Linked DNA regions of Diceros bicornis minor. The main gene of each other region encodes a partner of the protein of the gene in region 2 in a complex. Links are inferred from orthologs where the notes say so. Each region holds a gene or a part of one and is shown on either strand. Other genes may lie near its edges. The genes, in order: HRH3, GNAI1, HCAR1 and RGS1.

Region 1 (7,050 bases), on a different chromosome or scaffold from region 2:
CAGATGAGGCAAGCCCACACCTAAGCAGGTATGTGAGGACCATCCACACAGCCCAATGTAGTCAACTCACCACCAGGTGGTGATTTGTTCTCCTCAGGGAAGGTGCCAAACTGGGGGCTCAGCATTGGTCTAAGTCGGTGGTGGGTCAGACACTCAGAGGTGGCAGTGGCCAGATCAGCCTCTGCAGGGGGGAGTCCACGCTCCTGGTCCATGCGTGACCTCTGGCGAGACCACTTCATTTGTGCTGTCATGCCAGTTATGGGTGGCCAATGACAGGGGCTTGCTGTCACCTCTTCCTAGTGGATGCTTCCTGGTGGGTGTTTGTGTGTGACACAAAAACCTTCATGCTGGTGCCCATAGTCACATGTCCATCCATGTGGTCCAGCCCAGAGCCCCTTGTCTCCACCTCCATCCTGTTCCTTCCAGGCCCCTGACCAGCCCACCAGGACATTGGCCACTGCCCCTGAATCCATAGATATTCTCAACTGGGCCACTTTTCCGTCCACACAAAGGGCATGACCAGGTGCTTGAAGCTCTGCCCACTGGAAAGATGTGTCCCTCGTCTCAGCTGCAACACAGCAGCAGACCCCAAAGGCACTGCCACTGGGGGCTGTCAGCTCACTGCACCCCCTTACACCCCACGGCCCCCTGGGCCTCGTGCCCTGGCACTCCCCGTCCCCTGCCTTGCTTCATTTCTCTCCAGAGCACTTGTAACCTCTGACGTGTGCGTTACTTACTGCGTTACACTTGCCTCCCTACACTAAAACGACTTAGCAGAGAGCCTGAATTTAGGTGCTTAATAAAACCTTGTTGAATGGACAAATGAACCAATCAATTGATGAGTCAGTAGGGGAGCCATCTCCTAGGGAAGGTTTGCAGGGGGTCTGGTTTGGCTAATCTGGCTACGGTTTGTGTGGATGGGGCATTTGCCCAATGGCTTCCTTGTTGGACTAGACAATTTGCACCCCAGATGCCGGCTGTTTTGACAAATGAAGAAACCAGGGTCCCAGGCCACTCTCTTTGAGGGAGTCTGGGTGAGCCGAGAGTAGGGGTTTGCCCTTGTCCCCCAACCCTTAGCCAGCTTTTCCCAGCGTCTTGGAGGGTTCCCAGCCATCCTGGGGCCTGAATACCCAGTCCTTGGGTCAGAGCCCCCAGGGCAAGATGCCCTGTGGACAGCCACATGGGGACCTGCCTTATTCACTCCGAATTGCCTTGGCCAAGTTAGGTCCAGCCCAGAGGACACCAGGCTCCTGTCCAGACTAGGTCAATGCTCTAAGAGTTGGTACGTTTGCTCGCCTCAGGGCCCTTGATCTCAGGGCCAGGAGTGTAGCCATTAAGAGAACAGCATCTGGCCTTGTGTGACCTGGGGCAGGTAGGTGGCTTCCCCGCTCTGGACAGGGGCTACTGGTTCTACTCTCCTTGTAGGGGGAGTGGGGAGCTAATGAGGTCATGCATCTAAGTGCAGATGGGGGGTGCTCACCACCCTTGGCCATGGTCATCCTCAAACCTCTGGGCCAATCCTGGCCCTCCCTCTCCTGGTGGCCTCCCTTCACAGAGGAAGATCTCCACGCTCAGAGAAATTTGGTAACTCCCCCGAGGCACACAGCTGGGCCCCCGGTGCCCAGGTCTGAACTGAGTCCATCTCTCCCCCCAGCTGTGGGTGAGAGACCACCAAGGAAAGCCCCAGAACACTGATAGCCACAAGGACAACTGTGGCTAGGCTTGACTGAGACTGTAAAGGGGCCGCCCTCTACACAGACTCCCCCCTGACTCAGCCCTCTACCCTGACAGTAAGCAGCACACAGTCTCCATTCCAAAGTGGGGATCCTGAGACTGGGGAGGGGGCTCCCAGCCAGTGATTGAAAGAGTCAGAGCCCCCCTCTCAACCCCTATCCAACTCCATCTCCCAAGGCCCGGGGGCAGGGGAGCACCCCTGCAGCACTGTCTGGCCAGAGCTGGCCTCCGGGGAGTTGGGGAGGAGCAGGGCCTGGGGGCTCCACTCAGCAGGCAGCTGCTGGCTGAGCAGGGGTCCATGAGTGCTAACTCAGCACCAGAGGCTCAGGAAGTCGCGGACGATGGGAGCAGCACCTTGTTGCCCCTCCAGGAACTCTCCACCCCGGCTTGTCTCACCATCAACCAGCTGCCTGGTCCTGGCACAGCCCTGCCCACCAGGCACGTTGGGGTGCAGTGAGGGGAAGCTGGGGGAGCCTGTAAGAGGAGCAGGGCTTACTGGTGGAGAGGAGGAGTGTAGCCAAGTACTCAGGAAGAGCTTCTGGGAGGATGAGCTGGAGCCCCCCACCCATCCCCCAGCACAGGCTGCGAGAAGCCGTGAAAGAGTGTCTGCTGGGGCAGGATCTGGGGTCTCCTCCCTGCAAGCAACCCTGAGGAGGCAGTAGAGGGAGCCCAGCCCCCACTCCCCAAAGTTTGTGAAGCACCTCTTGGGGCTAGGGGAAGGGGTGGGTCCTGGCATGATCAGACAGCTGCTATAAGTGTGGGGGTGCCCGTGCATGCCAGTGCCTCGGGGGCCGTCTGCCACCCCTCCTCTCCTCCCGGCAGCCTCGCAGCCCCCACCCCCACACGCAGATACTCATGTTCCCATCCTCTTTGAGGCTTCTGCAGATGTGCGCCGCTGGCGACAGAGCAGAGAGTCACTGCTTCCCTCTCCCTCAGGCACTGTTCCCTCGCTGTCTGCTGTCTGATGGGTGTCTAACTGCCATTCGTGGATCCCTAGCTGGGCGGCTGTTTCCCTGGTCTGTAGGTGTCTGTGTGTCTGCGTGTGGGCGTGTCTGTCTGTCTCGCCGTGAGTGTCTCCTGCTGAATCTGTCCTTGACCCTGTCTATCTGAGCGTGTGTCTGGGGGGAGGGGGCTCTCCCTCCTGCCGCCTCTCCTCCTCCATACCCGCAGGCGCTAATGCCGCTGCCGCCGCCTTCGCTGTGCTCCGATCACAGTGACCTCGTCTGTCCCTGCAGCAGCGACCGCCTCACCGCTCTGTCCACCAGGGGGAATCTTGGCCGGGCTCCGAGTCGCTGGCTGCTCCGTCCTCAGCCTGCGGCCGCCTGAGCCCCAGGTGGAAGCGCTCCTCTCCTGGCTGGGTCCACTGGCTCCCCATCTTCCCTTATGTAACTCCACATCTGTCTGCGCCTTGCAAGTCACCCTGGACCCTGCGCTGGGCCCACGGGGAGACTGAGACCCAGAGTCCCATGCACGTGGGGGTGGCGTGGACCCCTGGCCAGCGCACGCGCTCTGGGAGACCCCTCCCATCCTTCCTCCTTGGGACGTTCCCTCCCCCAAGACCCGCTTGCCCGAGCGCGAAACAAGGCGGGTCCCGCGGGGCAGGTTCCCCGCGCGCGGGCGCAGGTATTTCCTCCGCCCCCACTCCAGGTCCTTGCAGGTGCGCCGGATCCGGACGGAGGCCTGCCAGGAGTCAGCGGGCCTGAGGGCACGGGACAGTCCGAGCGGCCCAGAGGCCGGCTCCTGTGTGCGCGGGCCGGCCGACCGCAGGCGAGCCCCCAGCGCGGCGCCCGCCCTGCCGGGGCCGGGCTCCCCGCCAGCAGCCGTGCGCACGGGGTTGGGGCTCCAGCGGCCGGGCGGGCACGCGGCGCTGTCCGTGGTGCTGCCGGCGCCGGGCGGGACGAGGGCGGGGCGGGGGCGGGGCGAGGGCGGCAGCCAATGGCGGGGGCGCTGCGCGGGGCGCGGGGGGCGGCGGGCTGGGCGCGGGGCGCACTCGGCTGCGCGCTGCACTGGGGCGCGCCGACGCTCTGGCGGCGGCTCCGGGTCGGGCTCGGCTCCGGGTCCGCTCGGGCTGCAGTGGTCGTGCCTCTGGCCCCATTCGGCTCGGATTCCGGCCCGGGCCCCCTCGGTGCCGCCCGCCCCGGCCCCTGCCCCGGCCTCGGCGCCCACGGACCATGCGCCGGGCACCGCCCGGGGATCCCGGCCGGGCTGAGAGCCCGCAAAGACCAGGCTCCCGGGCCGGGGCCCCTCCCGGACGACTGGCCGGCGGTCCGCGCCCTGCCCTGCGCTTCGGCGCCGCGTGAGCCGGCGGGGCCATGGAGCGCTCGCCGCCCGACGGGCCGCTGAACGCGTCGGAGGCGCTGGCGGGCGAGGCGGCGGCGGCGGGCGGGGCGCGCGGCTTCTCCGCTGCCTGGACCGCGGTACTGGCCGCGCTCATGGCGCTGCTCATCGTGGCCACGGTGCTGGGCAACGCGCTAGTCATGCTCGCCTTCGTGGCCGACTCGAGCCTCCGCACCCAGAACAACTTCTTTCTGCTCAACCTCGCCATTTCCGACTTCCTCGTGGGTAAAGCCCCCAGTCGCCGCCCGAGCGCAGGAGCGCCCAGCCCCGCCCGGCCAGTGGGGACTGGAGCTCGGACCTAGGGTGCCTTTCGCTCGGGCACACGCCCCGTCAGGGGGCCCGGCCTGGGGAGGAGGCGTCCAGGAATCGTGGGGCGGTGGGCGCTGGCGAAGTTCCTTGCCTCCCTGCCTGTGGGACTGGTGCTGGGGAGGGATGTTCCCCGGGAAGGGGCCTGCGCCGGCAGGCGCTCGGCGAGGCGCAAGGCGCAGCGGCTGCGGGTGCAGCGCTGGCTCCTGCGTTGTAGCCAAACAAAGGCTGCGGCGGATTCAGGACGCGCGGAGGGCGCTGGGGGGAGATTTGGGGGAGGGGACGTGGAAGGGGGTTTTTAGAGTGTTGAGGGAGGGGACCGGGGAAGGCGTGGGGAGATGCTTCTAGGAGCGCGCTCTCACGTGTCCGTGCGCTGCTGCCAGCTGGGGGCGGGGCGCGTAGGGGGCCGGAGCGCCAGACACCTGTTGGGGCTGCGAAGTGCGTCTGCCAGCGCTGTGAGCCGGGCTTGGCGGTGGGAGCGGCTGGCGGGGCGGCGGCCAAGCGCCTTTTGAGTCAGGAGAAAGGCTTTCTCGCTTTCTGAGCTGATGAGGAAGAGCTGTCCAAAGGCCAGGGGAGGCGCAGGGGTCCAGCAGGCCAGAGAGGGGAGGAGATGTTCCTTCTTCCTCCCTTTGGGGACTGGGAAGGCTGAACAAAGCCTGGGAAGTACCAAATTAAGGCTCGGGGTGTCATGGTGCCTGCCCATGCCTGGAGCTTCCCTCCTGCGCCCAAGTCCAGGGGACTCCAGTGGGACTGGGGGCTGGGCAGGGGTTGAAGGCAAGTGCAGGGTAGAAGGTGTGCTGAGGGGATCAAGTGGAGGGGTGGGTAAGGTGAAGGCTGCTGGTCCCAGAAAGGTGGCCACCATGTGACTCCCAGGTCCTGCCTGTCTCTCCACTGTGGTGGGTCTGACCCCAGGCCCTTGTCGAGCCTTGGCCCACCATGCCCTACTCTCCCACAGGGGCCTTCTGCATCCCACTGTACGTGCCCTATGTGCTGACTGGCCGCTGGCCCTTTGGCCGGGGCGTCTGCAAGCTGTGGCTGGTGGTGGACTATCTGCTCTGCACCTCCTCCGTCTTCAACATCGTGCTCATCAGCTACGACCGCTTCCTGTCGGTCACTCGCGCCGTGAGTCTGGGATGAGGGTGTCCACATTCACTCCTGGAGGAAGGGGGACCACAGGAGGCACCAGGCAAAGGTTGCCCCCTTCCTAGTTGTAGGTGGTGCCAGGTGGGCTTGGTCCCTGCTGACCTCACACCTGACACACCAGGTGCTCTATGGCTGGCTGCCCACTCAGTAGCCATTTGCTGCGGGTAGGACTGATCCTGGGACACACAGGAGGCACAGTCTGGACCCGGCATCAGGTGTTCCTGAAGGAAGGGGGTCACTTCAGCTTCCACCCTGGGGCAGGTCCAAAGTCCCTGGAGCCGAGGGAGGATCTGGGTCAGAGGTCCTTGGTGCTTCCCCACCACAGGGGTGTGTGTGTGTGTGTGTGTGTGCGCGCGTGCACGCACGCGCGTGTGCGCTCATGTCTGCGCCCCTGGAAGACAGGTGTTGGCTCCTGGCTTCACAGGCTTCGCTTGGTGTGAGTGGCCACCATGAGTTAGGGACCTGAGCTTCCTGCGTCAGTGCCGTGCGGGCACACAGCTGCACTGGCACGGAGGTCTCTCCTTTGCCTTCTCATCTTCTCTTTGATGGCTTATCGGGCACCCCAGGGCCCTCTGCTGGGGGTGCCACATGTGTCCCAGTCTAGAGGGGTTGTGGGACAGAGTGCAGAGAGCATAGGTCGGGGTCAGACAGACTTGGGTCAAACCTCAGCTCTGTCCCCTGGAGCGGATTTTCCTGTGGTCTCTCCCTCCCTCCCTGAGCCATCGGGAAAGTGGGGATAATGACGGAGTTGTTGAGGATTAAGTGAGATGATATCCAAAAGGTGCTGAGCACAGAGCCTGGTGCACAGTGGGTACTCAGTAGACAGGGGACCATGACAAGACACCCCCCCGGGAGCGCACAGCTGGTGGGGGTGCTAAACAGGCAGCCTGGCACAAAGTTAGCATTCAGATTGGTCTGGAGCAGGTTCTGAGGCTATAGGAGAATGTGACAGGGCATCAGCCAGCCCAAGATGCATGGCACAGAGGGGAGAGAGGGTGGGGAGGAGAAGGAAAAGGCATCGCTGTGAAGGAAGGCAGTGCACAGAGGCCTAGAGGCTGCCGAGGAGCCCCCAGGCCAATATTCCTGCCACAGTAGGCAGCAGCCTGCCGGCCTGGGCTCAGTCCCCTTCCCTCCTGACCTAGCGTGTCCCACCGCAGGTCTCCTACCGGGCCCAGCAGGGCAACACGAGGCGGGCGGTGCGGAAAATGGTGCTGGTGTGGGTGCTGGCCTTCCTGCTGTATGGGCCGGCCATCCTGAGCTGGGAGTATCTGTCCGGTGGCAGCTCCATCCCCGAGGGCCACTGCTATGCCGAGTTCTTCTACAACTGGTACTTCCTCATCACTGCCTCCACGCTCGAGTTCTTCACGCCCTTCCTCAGCGTCACCTTCTTCAACCTCAGCATCTACCTGAACATCCAAAGGCGCACTCGCGTCCGGCTGGACGGGGCCCGCGAGACGGCCGACCCTGAGCCCGCGCCCGAGGCCCAGCCGTCCCCACCACCAGCCGTGCCAGGCTGCTGGGGCTGCTGGC
Region 2 (7,022 bases):
CTCTGATCTCTCTCTTTCTGTGTGTGTATACATGTCAGGTTGTCCTGACTCTGTCTTCTTCTATGGTTCCCTCTTCTCCCCACACTAATCCATCAACATACCAAGCCAACACATCTCAGATAAACTCTCCTTTCCCACTTTTGCTTGTTTTTCTGATGGCAGGATGAGTGGGGAAAAGGTTGGAGGCCAGCAGTTTCTTAATTTTAATCTCAGTTCTTACACTAATCCCATTTGACTTCTGAATAATACAGAATCTCACGGTTGGAAGGGATCCTAAAAGTTCTTCTATATCTAAATCTTTCCCAATATGCGACCATCTAGTCTAGATTGTTACATCTTAGTTAAGAATGTGTGAGTTTCTGAGGTGCGCTATTTCCTTTGTGGGGAATTGTACACTATTTTTTCTCACATCATGATAAAATTTCTTGCTATAGCTTTCTTCCACTACTTCTAAATCTACCACTTGAATCCACACAGAAAATGTCTATTCCCTCTGATTTACAATATCTCTTCAGTCATTTGGAAATAGCTATCATGTCTCTTTGTACCTTCTCATTTGTATCCCCAGTTTCTTCAATTATTTCTTATGACACAGTTTGGAGTTACTTTAAGATTTAGATGCTCTCAGCTGAATGTGTCCCAATTTGTCTTTTAACATGTCTCTAATTTTCTTAACATATGATGCTCAGTATAATTCAGCAATAAAAAGAAGTGAAGTACTGATACATGCTACAGCATGGATGAACCTTGAAAACCTTATGCTAAGTGAAAGAAGCCAGTCACAAAAGACCACATACTATATGGTTCCTTTTATATAAAATGTCCAGAATGGGCAAATCTGTAGAGACAGCAAGTAGATTCGTAGTTGACCAGGACTTGAGGGGATGAGGCGGGGGTGGTGGAAAGATTGGAGGATAATGGCTATGGAGTACAGGGTTTCTTTTTGGGGTGATGAAAATGTTCTAGAATTGAGTGTCATGATGGTTGTACAACTCTGTGAATATACTAAAAGCCACCGAATTGTACACTTTAAATGGATAAATTATATGGTGTGTGAATTACATCTCAATATAGTTGTTTAAAAAATATGATGTCCAGAAGGGAAAACAGTACTTTGAAGTAGATTGCTTTAACCTCTGTATTTCAATTTCATTCTCTACAACATTGATGAGTTAATATATCTGCTCTACCTCCTTGACAAGATTGTTGAATCACATTTTGCAACATCATAATTATGTAAATTATTAATTTGAATGACTCTTGCCACCTCATACGGTATTACTAAGACAATCTACTTGCTGGTAACTCACTTGTTTTGTTGGGTAAGAGATTTTTTTTTTAAATACCTATTACCCAATTCAGGAGAACGTAAGGAACACTTAGTACCCATTGTATAAAGTCCAACTCTTCACCTTAATATTTAAAGCTCTCTTTCAACTTTGTCCCACACTTCCTATCATTCTTCGCAGCCAAACTACATTTCAATGACAAAACAACTGCTTTCTCTAACATGTACATTACACATTAACCCTTTTAGCTGGTTATTCCTCTCAAACAAAATATATCCTATTATGGACTGAATGCTTGTGTCCCCCCCAAATTCATATGTTGAAGCCCTAACTCCAATATAAGGCTATTTTGAGGTGGAGCCTTTGGGAGGTAATTAGGTTTGGATAAGGTTATGGGGGTGGGGCCCCCATGATGGGATTAGTGTCCTTATAAGAAGAGGAAATGAGACTAGAGCACTTTCTCTCCACATGTGAGGGCACAGCAAGAAGGTGGCCATCTGAAAGCCAGGAGGAGAGTATTCACTGGGGAAATGAATTGGCTGGTATTTTGATGTTGGACTTCCCAGCCTCCACAACTGTGAGAAAGAAATTCCTGTTGTTTAAGCCAAACAGTCTATGGTATTTTGTTACAGCAGCCCAAGCTGACCAATACATACCCCTTGGAATTCCACAAAGATCCCCAGTCATGGCTTTCTTCTTCCTTCAAAAGGTTTTTCAAAACTTTCTTCTCTCCGAATTTCCCCTCATACTGATCGCTCCATTCCTATGCCTCCTCTCAGAAGTTTAGCTTCATATAAAGCTATGTTCTTATTCACAGAACTCTTTTCAGTTCTTATTCATCCATGTATTATATTTTGCCTCCTCACCTACTTGATAAGCTTCTCAAATGAGAGGGGTAATGTGTATAATTCTGTTATAATTTCTTTTCTTTAAAACACAAATTTTTTATCATTTCCACCAGTACTCAGTTATGATTGCTTCCTCTTTTCCTGTCATTGTAGGTCCCACACTCTATATGGCCTGAAGCTTATAGGAAAGACAATAACAGATAATCCAAAATGGCTAATACACAAACACTATGTTGAAAGTTCACTCCATCAAGTTTAATTCCAGAGTTTCTGAGGAACATTATCATTTAGAGTGCCAAGAAATACAAAGAGGGTAGAAGGTGACTAAGTACACTTTAAGGCTTGCTCCTTCTTGTTGTTATATTATGAACAGTTGAGGCAGTTCTTGAAATGGCATCCCTTGAGCCCAGCAGCTTTGTAGGAGAACAGGAAAGGGCACGTCCAGTAGGGAGGACACTGACAGTCTCTGCTTGCCCACAGGCCTGGCCTACGTGACCCGCTCTAAAGCTATTCTGACTGTAGCATCAGCTCAGCCTCACACTGGAAAACTCAAGCCCAGTTTTACCAATGGCTTTTAGAAAATAAGACTTCCAGATGCAAACCAAAGACCAATTTCCTAAATTTTAATACATCAAAGAAGATATTTTTCTTTGCTACCAAGCCCATGTTCTACGCAAACAACATTTCCTGAGATGTATGTAAGGGAAAGGTGCAGTGCGCAGTGACAATGGCAGGAACAGACCAGAACTTAAACCTATGCTCACTAATTGGATGCTGAGCAGAATGCCTCAGCAGGCCCCAGGAGCTGATCTCCCCCAGACCATTACAGCTGGGAGGATGGAGTGATGGTGTGGATCAACTCCTCATTTTCTGGGCAAGGAAGCTAAGGCCTGCAAGAAGGAATGACGTGCCCAGTGGCTTATGATTTACTCACATGGTCATAAATATCGGTTCAAACTCGGCTCGGAAGCTTACATGCCGCCCCAGAGGAGAGCAGATTTGTTTGTGTGGGTGTGTTTTATAGCTCTTGTCATTTTAAAATACACTCGTTGATTCTTTGTCTCACATTTTCTCAGGTCGTGAGGAAATCCTTCCAAATGTGCTCTGCTTGTGAAAAGAAACGTGAGAATGGATGGAAGGAGGAAAGGAAGGAAAGGAACACGGAAGGGAGGAAGCTGACCTCCTATCCTCCTCCGCAGACTTTTCTATTCCCCCGTATCCCCAGCTCTGCTTTCGCCACGGCTCCGTTCCCTCCCCAGCTCCCTCTATTTTCCACAGCCCAGGAGGCCGGCCGACTGGGCTTTGCGTTTCGGAAACCCTCGCGCTGCTGCCGGCGCTGGGCATGCTCAGACGCCCAGGACGGGCTTTTTTCCCCTTCCAACTTTGGCAGCTCTCCCACCCGCAGCCCGAAGGGGCAGGTCCGCACAGCTCCCTCGGTGCGAGCAAACCCGGAGAAATTATCCGCGCCCGCGAAGGCAGCGAGATGGGGGGGCTCGTTGGGCAGCTCCGGGTTTCGAGGGCGCTTCCAAGGGGCGCGCGACGCCCGGGTGGCCGCCCTCCGCGCGGGGGCGCGCGCCCGTTGAAGGGGCCGCTGTCCGAGGACACGTGCGCGGGAGCGCGCTCCGGGAGTGGTCGCGGGGCCGGGATGGTGGGACCGGCGGAGGGGGCGGGCGGAGCCGCGGGGGGCGGGAGCGCGCTGTGGGAGTGGTCTCCGGGGGCGGGTGGGCGGGGCGAGGATGGTGGGAGGGGCGAGGCCTCGGTGGGGGCCCGGGGGCGGGGCGGAGCGGGGCGGGGCCACAGGGGGCGGGAGCGCGCTCCGGGAGTGGTCGCGGGGCGGGGCGGCGGCGGCGCGCGGACGCCAGCTCCCTGGGCTTCTGGAGGCTGCGGCGCGGCCAGCGGCAGGAGGCGGCGGTAGCTGTTGCCAGAACCCCGACACCCGGACTTGTGGGGCACCGAGGGGCACCGGGAGCGGAGCGGCCGTGGGGAGCAGCGCGGTGTGCGGCCCCTTTGTGGACAGCGCCTTCCCAGCCGGTCAGGAGGGGCGGCGGAGGTGGCCGGCGCCGGGAGGGTGGATCGCCCGCGTCCGGAGAGGAAGCGCTCACCTGCGTTGGGGACTGCACGGCCGGAGGGCGCCGCGCTCTCGCTCGGGCACGATGGGCTGCACGCTGAGCGCCGAGGACAAGGCGGCGGTGGAGCGCAGTAAGATGATCGACCGCAATCTGCGCGAGGACGGCGAGAAGGCGGCGCGCGAGGTCAAGCTGCTGCTGCTCGGTAAGGGCCGGCGCCGGCCCGGGGCCCGGGGGGCGGCGGGGGCGGGCGCGGACTCCGGGGCGTGCGGAAACCCGGGGGACGTGTCCCGGCCGCCGATGGCGCGTGTGGTAGTGCCCGAGATGGTGTCCGAGGGAGCGTGTCCGGTCCTCGTCCCCCCTCCTCGGCCGGGGAGGACTCCCCGCGGTGGGCGGGAGCTTCGCTTCCCTCGCTCGCGCTGGTGTGGACCCCCGAGGGCCGAGGAGTGGATCTCGAGGAAGCCCTTTTCTTTGGAGTTAGCTCCGCCGTGTGAGGATGAAGGGCACCCGCACAGTAAGAGCCCCCCACCCTTCCTACAAGGTGCGCTCTCGCGGTTGTGGTTCCCCACGGGCAGGAGCGCCAGGCTTTGTGAAGTCAGCGCACCTTCTGCGGGGCCTCCGTGGCTTGCAGCGTGTCTCCACCGGCGACTCGGTCAGTGTGAAGGGAGCACTGATTGCATTGACCCCCCGTGAGAAAGTAGGCTATGCTGGGTGCTCCATTTCTGTTACTGTGGGGTCCCGGAAACCACCAGAGTTGGTAACATTTGCTCTAGTGAGATGCTCGAGCGGAGAAAGCCGATGGGAAAGGTGCGAGAGGGTCACGCCGAAGACGGCACTCCTGGCCGCCTCACTTTCGGATGGATGAGGTTGGCCAGGTACTCGCCAAGGCTTTCATTTGTTCTTAGCATTGTTCTCTTAGTGAAACGCTGTGTGAAGGTCTTTTCCAGTTGTTTGAAAGGAGAGAACATAAAAAGAGTGAGCCAGGGTTTTGACTGAGGGATACATTAGGAAATATTCACAGCCTAAGATTTGTAGTTGTATGAGTTAGGGTTTTCTTTTGTTTGCTTGTTTCCCCCCCCCACCCTATAGTATTTAAGTAGATGAAAGGTTTCTTACAATCTTAATTTGCACTCTCAGCGGTTGCTTTTAATTTTATAACAGTTATAATAAAAGGCAAATATTGCACAAGCTTCTGTTTCATTAGTTTAATGACTGCAGGAAAAATGGTGGTTTTTTTCCTCCGTTACTAGTAGGCTTAGAAGCAGAAACTTGGCGTGACTAAAAGTAATAATGATCTGAGTCATTTTTCGAGCGAACTGTGAAATAACTTTGCATTTTAAAGACCTGGCTGGCTTTCTTCACCCCCACCCCCAACATTAATCTTTCTCAGTTAATACTGTTTGCTTAAGTTTTTACATTAATAAGAAATACCCTATTTTGACGAGGGGAGTGTATTTTTAGTGTATTGAACATAAAAGAGACACACCTTGGTATGGAAACATGTAGATGCTCCTCTTATGAATTGAATGTACTTGAGGCAAAAATGCAAAAAAAATGATTAAAAAGTTATTTTCCTGCAGTTTCTGCACTCCTGCTCTGATATATTATTTCAGTGTATTGTAGTGTGACTCTTAGTTTGAGCCAGCCGTCCACCATGTTTAAAGCAGTTGAAAAATGAACCCTCTGGTGTTATTTTATGCTTTAACTAGATGTCTGTTAGAGAGAGACGGACTGGGATAAAGGTCCAGGAAGTTGGGTTTTGCTTCTACTCAGAAGAGATCGGTGTTTCTCAGTCTTAGCACTGTTGGCATTTTGGGTAGGATGCTTCTTTGTGGTGCAGGCTGTCTTGTGCATTGTAGGATGGGAGCATGTCTTTGGCCTCTACCCATTAGATACCCGTTGTAGCCCCCTCAACCTGTGACCCTTGAAAATGTCTTCATATATCCCCAGATGTCCTGTGGGGGCAAAAATTAACCTCTGCGAGAACCACTGTTCTAGATTAATAAGTAAATATAGTTGAATGTGTAATGAAGAACCAAAAGTTGCATCTCTATAGCCAACTATAAGAGAGAGTTATGAGAAAGTGTAGCAGAGTCGTGATTTTCAGAAGAAATTGCGGAATTTTTGTTTCTCTGTGCCAGTAATGTCAGAAAGATTTCTAAATGATTTTTGAAATCTTTAGGTAACTGAGTTCCGTCTGCTGTCTTCTCTGGCTTGAGTCTTTTCCCTGCATCTCTTCTCTGTGTGGAGATTCTGCCGCATTCCTGGCTTGTGGGCCCAGCACTCCTCCTCCTTCCCCTCAGTGTCTGTCTTACTCCCACTGAACTCTACCCTTTTGCCCAGAATTCTAGCACCCTAGTTCCTATAAACAGAATACTGGCTTACTTATTTAGGAAATCATAATTCTTGAAATGTTTGAAAACATTTCTTTTTCCCCTGATTTGACTTTAGCGGGAAGTGTTGACCTTTGGTTCTTTTCTGGATGTTTAACGTCATATATATAAGCAAGTCAGTGGAATCGTTCCATATAAAACACGGCAACCGAATCAACTAGGAATATAAAATGGTTTCCAGGTAATCTGTAACGAGGGTCACTTCCATTTACATCAGGTCTTCTACCTCTTCTATTATTTTGTTTTTCTCATCACATGATTTTTTTTTTCATTTAAGGCAAAAAGCCTCTAAAATATATTTAAGACATATATTAAATAGTTCATTATATTGCATTTTTCCTTACGGCCTGTATTGTCTTTTTAGACATCTGGGTTGAAAGATTCAGGTATGAAACACACATTATTAGTAAAAAGCTTTGGGTAGTG
Region 3 (6,105 bases), on a different chromosome or scaffold from region 2:
TCAGACTGAAATAAAAGTATTGACTTACTTCAGTTTCTATTTCCCAAGATAAGTAACAATTTAAGGTCAGAAGACAGGAAATACTGGTAAGTCATTAAGTTCACTAACTCCCTCAGAGAGAGCACAGGACTAGTTTAAACATTGGTACCTATTCACTCAGCCATTTAAAATTACACAGGAGCCCAGCTCTTCCTAACCCCCTGCCCAACACACACATGCCCCATTACATGCATATATTGTCCCTTGTCATTGTAATCAGATCATATATATGCAACCGACTCACATCTCAACTGGGACCTTCCAAAAAAGCGTAGTAACCCGAATTTCATTTCCAACAGTGAGGAAGATACAGCTAAGAAAGGGTGGCATTTTCAAAGCCCCCTACCCCTTAGCATGAAGTATTTCTAAGTCGTCCATCTGTCCTCCTTGATTTTGTCTGTTTGTCTGTTTTAGTGCCATTCAACACATGCGGAGATGCCACTGGACATCGGGTTGGCTTTGGAAGCTATTTGTTACACTGATGCAATTCTTGCGACAGAGGTTGGAATTGGCGTCCCTTCTGGCCTCCGTGTCTTGGAGCCTCCCGGACGTTTGGGTCTCAGACCGCTGATTTTGAGCTTGGAGTAGAATTTGGGGAACGAAGGACTTGAAAAGTAATACACCAGGGGGTCCAGCATGCTGTTCATGTAGGTGAAGCTGAGGGTAACGTGGAGGGCTACGTGAACAGACGGATCGCAAGCGCTCGTGGGCACCGTCCAGAGGAAATACAGTCTGGCCGACACGCTGGGCAGGTAGCATATGATGAACACAACGGCCACCACCGTGATGAACCGGGTGGCCTTCTTCATCCGAGTCTGCCTGGCCAGCTGCTGCCTCTGCTTCAGGCTCCAGATAATCTTGAAGGAGCAAAATAAGATGATGCCAAGGGGCAGGAAGAACTCCAGCTGGAACATGACGTCGTGCCAGCCATTGGCTGACTCCATGATGAAGCTCTCACAAGATATGGTCTCCTTTTGCACACACAGATGGTTCTCCATCAAAAGATGCAGAGTGCCCAGGATGACCATGGTCCAAAGGGCACAGACGATGCCAGCCGCAGTCCGGTTGGAGATGGTGTTCACCATATGGTGGGGGTGGACCACTTTGAAATACCTGTCCACAGCCACCACCGTAAGGAAGACGATGCTCCCAGCCCTGTTCATGGCCAGCATGAAGAGCGCCACCCGACAGGGAATATCCTCAAAGGCCCAGCGTCTGTGTCTGTGGTAGTAGTCTGTCCGAAAGGGCAGGCAGATCATGAGAAGAAAGTCGGCCACGGCCAAGTTGAAAAGGTAAATAGTGCTCGGCTTCCAGGTCTTCATGTGAAAGCAGAAACCACACAGGGCTATGCCATTGCCCAGGGCGCCGAGCACGAAGGCCAGGATCAGCAGTGGTGGCATCACCTGAGGGATGGAATCCCCCTCGATGACGCAGCATGACTCGTTGTCCATGGTGGACAGAGGGCAAGTGCTCTGTGTGCCAGGCTGTGGGGTCCCCACAAAGACACAGATGCTTATCTGACGCTACTGCTCGCCCGGCTGCTGTTTTTCCAACCTCTTCACTCTGGGACGCAGGGACCACACGTGTACGTGGATGCAGCCACTCCCAGGAGAACAGAAACCAGTGAGGAAACGAGAGATTCGGGGAAGTCCTTTCTCTGGAGCCTGGGTCACAAGCTGCTTGTGTCCCCGAGAGCCGAAGCCTGTAGCATCTCAAGGCTTTGAAATGCATGTAATTTCGGACAAGCGGTCATTTCGGGGAAGCGGCTGGCAGCTCTGATGAGATTCATGCTGGAGAGGAGTTGTGGGGTCCAGCCCCAGAATGGTTTTATTTTCAGCCTTATGCCTTCTCCTTAGACTCACTCTGTGCTGGAGAGCACACAAAGCTGCTCAGAAGGTACGAGAAAAGCTTGTTTGTTCTCCCTCCCGGTGGAGAAATACAAACACTTCCCGGGGCCGTTCTGGGCCTCTGCCTCTGCTTTCCTCCCTAACCTTTGCCTGACCGCTCTGTCCTCTCCCCCGTCCCAGGGGGCGCTCCCAGGCTGTGCCAGACGGGAGGCTTTGCTCTCCCGTCCTCAGAGCCATTTCCTGCGCCCACACCCAGAAATACAGCACTCAAACCTTGGAAGGGTCTGCGGAGGAAAAAAGCTCTGAAAACTGCACTTGTTGGTTGGTAAAAAAATTCCTTGAAGTGTGTTGCCTTTCCTCCCTCCATTTGCAACTCCGACCCTATGTACCCTTCCGTGGACCCAAGTGACCAGTTGCACAACCAGCAAGACCATGAAATGCATCTGAAGCCACTTCTCATGGATCTGTCTCTGTGAAACAGGAGCCAGCTCCTCCCTCTGCTGTTTGCAAAAGAGGATTTGGCTCTGAGTTTCCCACTGGCTGTTCAAAAAAGCCAAACACCATGATATATGTTTTTATTTTGATTTATTTATTTATTTATTTTTGTGAGGAAGATCAGCCCTGAGCTAACATCCATGCTAATCCTCCTCTTTTTGCTGAGAAAGACCAGCTCTGAGCTAACACCTATTGCCAATCCTCCTCCTTTTTCTCCCTAAAGCCCCAGTAGATAGTTGTATGTCATAGTTGCACATCCTTCTAGTTGCTGTATGTGGGACGCGGCCTCAGCATAGCCGGAGAAGGAGTGCGTCGGTGCGCGCCCGGGATCCGAACCCGGGCCACCAGCAGCGGAGCATGAGCACTTAATCACTAAGCCACGGGGCCAGCCCATGATATATGTTTTTAATTTTAATTAAAATCAATTAAATAAAATCAATTAATGCTGAGCCCACTGACGGGGGCAAATGAAGGTCAGGGCGGTTGGTCAAGGAGTCTATCTCTAAAATAATTGTAGGTAAAAATAGATTGCACCAATGATGGGAGTCTTTGCTAAAATTTCCTCTCCTTTGGCTTTAGAGCTGACCTATCTGCCCTGTGCCTTTCAGCTCCCAGCTGAGGAAACGGGTGGGGGAGGGAGTGCGTTGAAAGCATGCGGATGCCTTTTTCCAGATGCTGACTTAAGCTAAATTCTTCCCACTGAAGCCTGCACTCCAGATTAGCCCGACAACATCCCTCTCTGCCCTCACCCTAGCATGACCACTGTCACCTCCCACCTGTTGAAACTGTTGAAAGAGTTTCCTAACTGGTTTCCTTTCCTCTAGTCTATTCCCTGTAATTCCTCTCTCATTCCACAATGTGGTTTTTCTAAAGCACAGATATGATCATATCCTTTTTTCTCACTTAAAAACCTTCATTAGTTCTCTTCAATACCAAGGTGATAGACTAGATGGCCTGTGGGCCATATCTGGTTCAAAAACCAGTTTGGTTTAAAAACCTGGGACCATCCTATAAAAACCTGGATTTTCAGCATCTCTTGGGAAACTGAAGATCTGGCCGCACTGGGCCAACAATCCCACATAGTAACAATCAGCTGGAGCGGAGAGTAGCCGCCTCCTTTAGTCAGGGCAAGAACTCTCCATTTTGCCACAGTCCCCACAACTCCCTATTACATGGTCAGTTTCAAGCATTCACATGCCTGGTCTCTGTGGTATTTTGAGTTTGTCACCTCGGCTCTAGGTAAAGGTCACATTACTTGGATTGGTATACAAAGCCCTTCACAGGTGTTCCTAAACTACCTTTCCAATATCATTCTCCTGCCACTTTCCTCCTCACACCCTACTTGTTAGTCTCATAACTTCTAATAAATAAGCGTGTCCATCAGACATCTAAATTTAGCTCCCTCAATAATCCAAGAGGTCTTTGGAGACAAAGTCCATGTTCTTGCAGGAAGGACATAGAATAAGGATCTGAGTGACTAGCTTCTACTTTTCATGAGAGCTGATAGCAGACACTTTCACTCTGGGGGCCTCTGGGATTCTGTGAGAAGACGTGAACTAACAGGAGGTAACTAATGTGGGCTGTAACACTCCAGGGTGGGCAACACTCCAGGGTGTGTAACTCTGAATACCTTAATATGGTCAAGCTGGATTTTTCAACAAATACAAAATATTCTTGCTTCTGTGCTGGCAGATGCTGTTGAGATTCTTATAAACACAAGTGCTTCCCTTTTCCTGCGTGACAAACATCTGCTTTTCTTTTCCACACTCTTTCTGTCTTGTCAAATCACCTTCTCTCTCTCTTTGACTGTAGAATTAGCTGGAAGGCAGAGGATTAAGAAAGAAAAGATAGGTTTCTTTTTCTCTGAAGGTCTACTGTTGCATGTACGGGGGCAGGAGGTATGTGGGAAATCTCTGTACCTTCCCCTCAATTTTCCAGTGAACCTTAACTGCTCTAAGAAAAGTAGTCTTAAAAACAATGTTAAACCAAATTTTGTTACTGATCTTATTGTTACTGCTAGCTACTATTACAGTACCTAATGTAAAATAGAAGCTTTATTGATTTAAAAATGTTTATTCAGTGGACCTCCTAGGTGTTTTTGCTATATGCTTCAGGATCTCCCGAAAGAGGAAGGTATTATCTGCTGTTTGGAGCTCAGTGTTTAGTAGGGGAAATAAGACAAGTACGTAAATAACAATAAATAAAAGCAAATAGAATAAGTAGTTTAAGGTAATATTTTCCAAAATGTGGTAGATACACCACAGATGATAGGTGAGATTATTTTAGGTGATATAGAGTAATATACATATATATTTTGACTTTATAGCTATAACTTTATTTTAATATGTGTTTTAAAAAAATGCAACTGGTTCATTGGAGTTTTGTGCATGAGGGAGAGTTGTTAAAATTTCTAGGGGCAAAAATAGAAGGAACAGACATTCCAGACAAAATGAAGAGCATGGAAAAAGTAAGGCTGGAGGGGGCATCTGAGGAACCTTCGAGGAGTTTGGAATTTGGAGTCTATGTCATGGAACTGTAAGGAACAAGACAGGCATGTCCAGTGGGGCTGTTTTGCAGGGGACCTTGAATTCAGTGGCGGTTGGGAGCCATTTTTGAGTGAGTGGCATTGTAAAGCATTGGAGGAATAGTTGAAAAAGAGAGAAGGGAAGCAATAGGCTTTTGTTCCCCCTCCTCTGCTCTCTGCCTGCCCTCCAGTACTGCCCATTGTCAACCACAAATTCTGCGGGCTCAGAGTCCCTGTTTTCTCTTTCTAATGTGTTCCATGGTGAGCCATATGGGGGATATTATAGATATCCACATCAATATTATCACTTAAAAAAAGTTTCTCATCCTCTTCCTCAGATTGCACATCAGACAAAGGGAACTGTTAGCTCTATCCATCAAATAGCTTAAGCAGTAAGCTTCCTTCCTTCTCCTTCCTTGCTCACCACAATCCCCAATCTGTTGATCATATGCCCTAAATCTCTCTCCACCCGCAGTGCTACCACTTTGGCTGGTCCAAAGTTCTGGAGGAACACAACTGCCTCCCGATTGGTCCTCCTCCAATCCATCCTCCAAAGATCAAATCTGGTCGAATGCTCGAATAGCTCCCTCTTGTCCTTAGCAGGGAATTCGAGATGGCTGACAAGGCACCACGGGAACCGGCCTTGACACCTCCAACAAGAGCCATAACTATGTTTAGTATCCAAAGGCTGTCTTATAGGGACCACTGGGGGAACATCTCCTTCCCTCCTGGTCCTGGATAACTCCTCTTTTTTTGGCCTCAGCCTAGACCAGTATCTTCCAATAGAACTTCTACAATAATGGAAAAGTTCTGTAATATACATGTAGCTATTGAGCACTTGAAATAGGGCTAGTGGGAACTGATCTTTCAATATCTTTTAATTGTAATAATTTAAAATTTAAAAGCCACCTGTAGTTTGGGGCTACCACATAGGAAGCCCATGGGACACCACTTCTTCTAACCCCCAAGCCTTCTGTGAATTTCCCTCTCTAGTCTGGGTTAGACCTTCTTCTCTGCACCATTTCTGCCACCCCCGCACTTAGCATGCAGTATTGTAACGTGTCTGACCCCAGCCCCCATCTCTATGAAGACTAGCTCTGGGTCCAGTTCAGCTTTGCACGCCCAGAACATAGCCCAACGCCTGACACCAAGGGGACACCCAGTAAATATGTCCTGAATAAGTAAATGAACAAGTGATTC
Region 4 (7,605 bases), on a different chromosome or scaffold from region 2:
CCTTTCATTTAATTAAAAAATAGAAGAAGTGTAGGATAATAAACCAAGCCTATTCAAAGAGGACAGAGCAGGCACAGGAAAGAGTGGAACACAACAGACTGCTTGTATCCACAACAAGAGTAGAATCATGCTTAGAGCAGCCACTCTCTTTTGACTTCAATGTGCTTATACAAGCAGGTAGAGTATGACTTATTTTGAGAGTATGATATTTATTATATAAATGTCCAGGTCTAACATCAATACTCGGTAAAAAAAAATAAATATAATAAATACATAAATAAACACAAAAACAAAACATTGGAAAAGACACAGAGAAAGTGCAGATACTGTAGTCATGAGAAATAAATTGCATGGCTTTGGAAAGACCAGAACACGTCAGGCAACCTTGGTAGATTTTCCTAGGAAAATCACATAATTAATGGGGAAAAAACAAAGCAAATAAATCACTGTTGTCAACCACTTTAATGTACAGTAAAAGGAAAGTTAACACTATTAGAAATTTGACTAGACTATTAGTCATTTATTGATGTTGCTTCCTAATAATAAAAATATACTTTCCTTTACAAATTGTCTCTCCATGTTGACCTTCGAGTATCTTTGTTTTTGCATTTATGTCCTGTGTTATGTAACAGAATGTTCCAGTCCAACTGCAAATAATGTGTCAATGTTCTTATAGCATAGTTTTCCATTTATTTGAACTTGGGACTAAGACACTTAGATATTTGCTAAATTTTATTTGCAAAGCATAGTCAAATAGATTTTGACGTGACTACTCTCCCTTGTTGAAATGATTATAAATCATAGAGTGATAGTAAATGTAAACAAATCCACTGTGGAGGAAGTACATCAGAGATAATATTAATCAAAGATTTTTTAGTACTTTCAGAATGACTTGGAATATGGGCTTATTAATGAGAGCTTTACTGGTAAGATGAGATCTAGGGTGAGTGAGGTTTATAGAATCCCAGGAGCCCAGTTCACTGAAGGTCCCACATTCAATTTTCTCATAATCTCTTAAAATATAGAAAGGAGATGTTCAGTGTTGACTATAAGTTGATTAGAACTGGGTGAGAAAAAGAAACTAGATTCTTATCTTGCTCAGTTTGCATTTACTGAGGTCATTGAATTTCACCAAGTTGCAAATATCTTCTCTTTAAAATTGATCAGCTGATTTCTTCATTTAGAAAATAAGATTATAAACAAGTTTAAAATGTTTAATCCTCTTATTCATAAATGATATAAAGTAGGCATCAATGTCCCCAGCAATACTCTACCTGGACATAGAGAAAAATCCCTCCAAATTCATCTTTGTTGAAGCTTTTCAAATAACCTCTATGAAATGTAACTGAAACACAATTGGTAGCCTTACTATAAGGCTGGAAGCTGTCAGAGTGAGCCTTTGTCTTAACCCCCTAACCATTGAGTGGTTATGCTAATTCAACAAAGTCTTTCAGAGCCCCTTTTAAACTCTGCAAGGCTCTGTGTTTACATATAGGATCCATTCTTCCATGATCTTTATACATGTAAGAGGTGTCTACTGGCTGAAGACCAATTTCTCCATTGCGGTGTTTTGTACTTTCCAGTGGGTGTTGATCTCGAATGCAGAAACAGGCAGAGAATAAGTACATGTTGATTGTGTAGTAAGTGGCAACAGTCCTTTTCTTCTGTTCCAGCTTCCAGAGTTAATCGCTCCTCTGTACATTCCTCTCCGATGGCACTTTTCACTTTGATTACTTGCTTAAATACCTGTCTGCCCTTCTCTACTGTGAACTCCCTAGGACAGAGACTCATTCCGCTTTCTATTTGCAGTACCTGTGCCTGATACATTGTAGGACTGAGATTAAAGTTTGTTCAGTCAAGACATTTTCTTTCAATGGATCAACATTTCTGTTCATGTCACCGACTCTTAGCAGTATAGATATATTTTTACTTTTAAGATGCAATCTTGTACTCATTATTGTCCTTTTTCCCATAATTCCTAATGTCCACAACAAAATTTCAGCAATCTTATAGAGGCTTAACATCAGCTTAATCAATATCAAGCTTGAAAAAGTCATTCAACAAAGCAGTCCCTACTAGGACTCAGGCATTGGAGTGATGGGAACCAGAACGTAAAATCAACTTAGCAAAGATTAAAATTTTCCCATCAAAATTGATAGCCATAATCTGAAATGTTTTATTGATCCAATCTCCTAGACATTTTAAAAGATAACACTAGGATTCTTAGGGCAGGGAAACTATTGTTTATAATACTCTGATGGTGGATATATGTCAATATACATTCATCAAAACCCACAGAATGTACAACACGAGTGAACCATAATGTCAACTAAGGACTTTGGGTGATAATGATGTGTCAATGCAGGTTCATCATCAATATATACCACAAATATACCACACTAATGCGGGATGTTCATGGTGGTGAAGGCTGTGGGGTCAGAGGCAGTATGTGAGAACTCTGTACTTTCCACTCAATTTTGCTGTAAACTTAAAACTGCTCTAAAAAGGAAGTCTATTATTTTTTTTTTTTAAAAAAAGATGACACTAAGACTGCATGAAGTCCTCCTTTTCTTAGGACTCCAACCTAGTTACTTAGGCACAATTCAGAGGAAATACACAAACAAGATTATGTTTGTGAGAGCCACTGTTTCTTCTATTAGTTTTTATCAAATCTTCTACAATTTCAACCAAAGTCATTGATTCAGTAAAGTTACTATTTGATCACTTGTCTTTTCTTAATGAGTTTTACAAAGAGGGGCCAGACAGTGATGCTCTCTGTGCAATTAATAGGGAACTTTCAAGGCCCTGCCATGGACTCATCAGCCGTTGCTGGCACAGCTTCGCCAGATTTGCCTGGCCCTGGCGCGTCTTGGCTTGGCATGTGCTAGCAAGCATCCTTTGAGACAGCAGCTCCATTACTATGCCACGGAGGTAGCTTCAACAGCCAATTGTGATATAGAAATTTCAGATGGACCCCCTCTATCAGGAGTTTAATTCTCTATTTAGGCTTGGAAGCATGCAGTTATAACTGCTTGCAAATGCTTAAGCTTCCAAGTCTATATTGAGGTAGCAAAATGTTGGAGATTTAAAGGAAGTATTAATGTATATGATGCGAATATTGATTTTTATCTCAGACTGGAGTTTCCTAAATGTCGTGTCAAGAGAACGTTATTTCTGCAAACTATTTTTCCTACCTAATGAGGGTTCAGTTTTCAAAACTGTTAGGAAGGGCCGGCCCCGTGGCTTGGCGGTTGGGTGCTCGCGCTCCACTGCTGGCGGCCGGGGTTCGGATCCCGGGCAGGCACCGACGCACCACTTCTCCGGCCATGCTGAGGCCGCGTCCCACATACAGCAACTAGAGGGATGTGCAACTATGACATACAATTATCTACTGGGGCTTTGCGGGAAATAAATAAATAAATAAATAAAAATTATAAAAAAAACTGTTAGGAAACTGCTGCATATTCTACCCTCCTTTTAGAGACTAACAAATGTGCATTAACTTATTAAAAGCTCTCAGAATATCTGCATTGATCAATTTAAGAACTTTATTTAACTTTAACCCAGTATTTGCTACACTAATGTGGCCCCGTAAGCTTTGCAACTGTTGCTGTTGTAGTCTTTATTATGCTTATTAACATCCAAAGGAACTATTGTTGCTGAAAGATACTTTGGAAATTGTCAGGATGTTTGGATATTAGTAATAGTGGGCCACTAAAAATAAACTTTAAATCATTTTTCTCTGACATAATTTACCCACAATTATCTAGAGGAACGAGAGAAGACTAGATAAACAAACATGAGCAGGAAGATCTTAACAGATAAGTAAGTATGGACTGAACCACAAGAAATACACAAACAAATGCTTTTATGTCATCAGTTTTTGAGCCCTGTCATTTTTGTTTGGGTCACTGCCAAAGTGGCTGGTTCATCTCACTAGTTCTTTTTCTTTCTTTTATTTATTTTTTTGTGTGTGTGAGGAATACCAGCCCTAAGCTAACATCCGATGCCAATCCTCCTCTTTTTTGCTGAGGAAGATTGGCCCTGGGCTAACATCCATGCCCATCGTCCTCTACTTTATATGGCACGCCGCCACAGCATGGCTTAACAAGCGGTGCCTCGGTGCTTGCCTGGGATCCAAACCTGCGAACCCCAGGCTGCCGAAGCAGAGCGCACGCACTTAACCGCTGCCCCACCGGGCCGGCCCCCACTAGTTCTCTTTCTAAATGAATTATGTTAATTTTTGAACATCAAGTGATGCTTCCTACAATAGACATACAATATATGTTCATGACTGTGTAGAAAGTGAATTTTGAAATACTATAAATGTGATTCCTCCAAATATTTTTTATCTTGATGATAGAACCAAGATAGGAAAAGTAATACTCCCTTCCCTTTTGTCAGCTTTACCTAACACCATCAGGAGCCTCTCTAAGTAAAATTTGTTTTATCTTTTCAGGGGCAAAAACCAAAGGAGGTTTAAGTTAAACTGGACACTCTGTAAACAAACCACACTCTATATTAAACTTCATAAGAGCTTATATTGCACTAATTCCTCTGCCCTGATCAGTGATTAGGCATCTAATTCCTTGGGGGTATTTTTAATCCCTAATCTTCATTAGAGCTAGACAATATCTCTCCAGAGATACCGCCGAAATTTGGGAGATCATCACCTAAGAAGTACACACTATTGGCCTGACCAAATATACTGTTATTTTACCTTGAGCAGTTTTTCCTCTGATACTGTGCAACTCTTTAGTATCAGTATATTTACATATATGTCATATTTTTGTGATAACTATACTTTTATTTGCTTATAGTTTCGTTTTAATTTTACTTTATTCTTATCCCCAGCAGTAATATACAGAAAAATCACAGTTTGATATATTAGTTACACTCCTAATAAATATTAAAATCCATGCGCCCCTTAAAATCAGCTTATATACCACCAGTTGAATGTCTAGCACACACCTTGGGAAATACTAACATGAAAATATCTTGCCGTGGAAATAAGGGATGAAGGTTGGAGTGGGGAAAAGTTAAGATAACCTCTCATAACTCTCCTTCCTACCAGATATATGCACAAATAAACAAAAAAATATTTCTTTACACTCAATACATCTCTAATATTGAGTTTCTTTGTGATACAATATATCCACCAAATGAAACATTTTATTGAAATATGCAATTTTATGAAAAAACAAGCATCACCTAGAAGGAAAGAAGCATGCTGCTAATGCTGTAGACATGTGATGTATATGTGTGTGTCTCTGTATGTTTAATTCTCTTCCTTTCTTTCAAATCAAGTGACCTAGTCTCATTCGGTTAGGTTTCAACCACAAAACATCACTGTAGGCTTTTTTTTTTCAAGATACACGTCACAATACACCAAGAAAGGGGGAACTTCCAGCGTCTGTGGCAATATCACTTGATAAACAGACTCAGTTTGAACAGCAGGAGCATTTACTATATAAAGCAGCAGAGACGGCGGCTAGCAGACACTTGCCTTGCGAGGACGATGCGAGCAGCAGCCGTCCCCACGCCAAGGTTAGACAAAATGCCAGGAATGTTCTTCTCTGCCAATCCAAAGGACTTGAAAGGAACTGATCACTCACTTCTAGACGACAAGACGCAAAAAAGGAGGGCAAAGACTTTGTAAGTTCCTTCAGTGCCTCATTTTGTGAATTTTGACTTAGATTATCTTTAATGGCAGAAGGATTGAGAATGAGTAGAAGAAAATATGAGCATTTAGTTTGGCCAGATCAGAGCAATTATCTGTTCTGAGTTATAAGTATATACAGTTGTATTAAAAAATGAATCATGATTGGGCAACAAATTAGGTGAGAACTTTTCCAGACTTTGGCCCATAAAAATGGGCTCAATCTTAACAGAGCAAAATGTTGTATCAACTATTTTTATTATTGTCTTATTCCTTGGAGAAGTTTATTTCATGCTCTTTTCTTTTTCAAATAAAATGTATTCTACCGAGGAAATATGAATATTTACTTTTGTGTCTTTTATAGTGGAATGGATGTGAAAGCATACTTGAGATCTATGATCCCACATCTGGAATCTGGAATGAAACCTTCCAAGTCTAAGGACATGTATGTACGCTAATACTCCGAATGATCATTATAAAAGTGGCCTATGCTTTAGCTCTATATTCTAGCAGGAAATTCTATTGCACTTAATGGACTTCATTTTTTTTAAATAACAAGCCTAATAAGATTAGATTACATTAGTACCAATGTAAATTACATACAAACGTGTGTGCATGTATTTGCTATTTACCATACTGTTGCAGTATATGTATCTGGATTTTTTCACATTTTATTGGCAGATATTTTCGTAACTACAGTAATTCTAAGGGAAATTTTGTTTTCATTTGGCCAAATTTTAATAAAATTTATTAGAACTAGAGTCTTAGTTTGTGAAGTTATCACAGTATAGCAGCCATTCTAATACCATTTGTGCTTACACAAAAAAATATTTTACTAATTTAGGTAAATTTTGTCCCCTACAGACTCTCTGCTGATGAAGTAATGCAATGGTCTCAGTCTCTGGAAAAACTTCTTGCCAACCAAAGTAAGCATAGATGAACTATTGAATGTTTAGGAGTTTAGCTCGATACACTAACAGATTGAATGGCTTCATTCAAACATAGTATTCTGGATAGTAGAGTGTGTGAAAAGTTGTATTCCAGTTTTTCTGTAGTCGCTGAGAGCTTCAGCACATTATGCCTCATTGTGGTGTAATGTTGACTTAACACTCAGCTCTCCCACTGTCCTCTAGACAAATTTGCCAGGACAATTCAGTGTTTCCACGGATCATTATAGGAGCGAAATTAAAAATTACACTGGGGTTCTGAAATCTGAAGTTTTTAAAAGTAAACCAAACATCTCAACATGTGAACTGCTATTCTGAAAGCTACCTAAAGAATGTCTTTTTGTATGTTGGATGTAAGGAGGAGGATTCATTCAGTCAGTTAATGGTTTTATCCTCCATACATTCATGAACTCACTCATTCAGCCCACTTTTCTGTGGCATGCGTTTCAGAAGCACCAAGGATTCAAAAGCCAAGACACAGCTCCTTGCCACCTTACTGTCTTGCAGGTGATTGAGACACACAGTACATAATTGCATTATATATAACATGACATGTAATAACACAGATATGATAAAAAGCATTTTTAAACACAGAGTCTTGTGGGGAGTTTCTGATGAGAGAAGGTAAAGAATGAAATCAGCTTGCCTTACCCTCATCACAGGCACTGCAATTCTATTGGGATCAGGACCTGGTTCAGAGGTGTAGATGAGCAGCTTGTCTCTATCTAGGGGGTGAGCTTATCTTCTTCTCCCCACAAACACCTGAAGGAACCTTGCTTGGAGATGAGGAAGTTCAGCCTGGTTCATCCGTCTTATTATCTGACTTAGTTTATAATTCAGCCAAACAGATAAATGGAATAGAAATGGCCCATTTAAAAGTCTCTGTAACACTAGCAAATATAATCAGTACATAACACATAGGTCATATATAGGTCTCACATTTTCTGACTAACATGAATTGAATGGGGAAATTATATTTGTTAGTGATTAACATGATGT

Evidence for each region.
Region 1: the proteins of GNAI1 (region 2) and HRH3 are in contact, whole or in part, in a cryo-EM structure (PDB 8YUU), measured with the Homo sapiens proteins. The link is inferred for Diceros bicornis minor from reciprocal best matches to the Homo sapiens genes GNAI1 and HRH3. Residues at the interface, in NP_002060.4 of Homo sapiens: Ala31, Arg32, Glu33, Val34, Leu194, Thr219, Lys314, Asp315, Glu318, Ile319, Tyr320, Thr321, Thr340, Asp341, Ile343, Ile344, Asn347, Leu348, Lys349, Asp350, Cys351, Gly352, Leu353, Phe354; in NP_009163.2 of Homo sapiens: Asn69, Asp131, Arg132, Ser135, Val136, Ala139, Val140, Ser141, Tyr142, Arg143, Ala144, Gln146, Ile221, Ile225, Arg228, Arg232, Phe344, Thr345, Phe348, Arg349, Arg352, Asp353, Lys355, Val356, Ser359, Leu360, His416, His417.
Region 3: the proteins of GNAI1 (region 2) and HCAR1 are in contact, whole or in part, in a cryo-EM structure (PDB 9IZD), measured with the Homo sapiens proteins. The link is inferred for Diceros bicornis minor from reciprocal best matches to the Homo sapiens genes GNAI1 and HCAR1. Residues at the interface, in NP_002060.4 of Homo sapiens: Glu28, Arg32, Leu194, Asp315, Thr316, Glu318, Tyr320, Phe336, Thr340, Asp341, Ile343, Ile344, Lys345, Asn347, Leu348, Asp350, Cys351, Gly352, Leu353, Phe354; in NP_115943.1 of Homo sapiens: Lys48, Ser50, Thr51, Leu54, Arg113, Lys116, Val117, Pro120, His121, Asn125, Thr126, Ser128, Leu203, Arg206, Gln208, Leu209, Gln212, Arg214, Met215, Lys217, Ala218, Phe221, Ile222, Ser281, Ser282, Pro283.
Region 4: the proteins of GNAI1 (region 2) and RGS1 are in contact, whole or in part, in a crystal structure (PDB 2GTP), measured with the Homo sapiens proteins. The link is inferred for Diceros bicornis minor from reciprocal best matches to the Homo sapiens genes GNAI1 and RGS1. Residues at the interface, in NP_002060.4 of Homo sapiens: Val179, Lys180, Thr181, Thr182, Gly183, Ile184, Val185, Gln204, Ser206, Glu207, Lys209, Lys210, His213, Ala235, Glu236, Asp237, Glu238; in NP_002913.3 of Homo sapiens: Ser105, Glu106, Phe107, Ser108, Glu110, Asn111, Ser143, Asp144, Ala145, Ala146, Gln148, Ile149, Asn150, Ile151, Asp152, Phe153, Arg156, Leu181, Lys184, Asp185, Ser186, Arg189.

What each region holds. Positions count from the first base shown.
Region 1 is NC_080758.1:1,872,990-1,880,039, forward strand, and holds the start of HRH3 (histamine H3 receptor), read left to right. Parts: upstream 1-4,046; coding exon 4,047-4,296; intron 4,297-5,332; coding exon 5,333-5,499; intron 5,500-6,677; coding exon 6,678-7,050. UniProt on the Homo sapiens protein: The H3 subclass of histamine receptors could mediate the histamine signals in CNS and peripheral nervous system. Signals through the inhibition of adenylate cyclase and displays high constitutive activity (spontaneous activity in the absence of agonist).
Region 2 is NC_080742.1:17,728,159-17,735,180, forward strand, and holds the start of GNAI1 (guanine nucleotide-binding protein G(i) subunit alpha-1), read left to right. Parts: upstream 1-4,010; 5' UTR 4,011-4,290; coding exon 4,291-4,408; intron 4,409-7,022. UniProt on the Homo sapiens protein: Guanine nucleotide-binding proteins (G proteins) function as transducers downstream of G protein-coupled receptors (GPCRs) in numerous signaling cascades.
Region 3 is NC_080774.1:7,532,581-7,538,685, reverse strand, and holds HCAR1 (hydroxycarboxylic acid receptor 1), read right to left. Parts: upstream 1,491-6,105; coding exon 513-1,490; downstream 1-512. UniProt on the Homo sapiens protein: Acts as a receptor for L-lactate and mediates its anti-lipolytic effect through a G(i)-protein-mediated pathway.
Region 4 is NC_080777.1:22,037,388-22,044,992, forward strand, and holds the start of RGS1 (regulator of G-protein signaling 1), read left to right. Parts: upstream 1-4,602; 5' UTR 4,603-5,518; coding exon 5,519-5,655; intron 5,656-6,023; coding exon 6,024-6,104; intron 6,105-6,523; coding exon 6,524-6,585; intron 6,586-7,605. UniProt on the Homo sapiens protein: Regulates G protein-coupled receptor signaling cascades, including signaling downstream of the N-formylpeptide chemoattractant receptors and leukotriene receptors. Inhibits B cell chemotaxis toward CXCL12.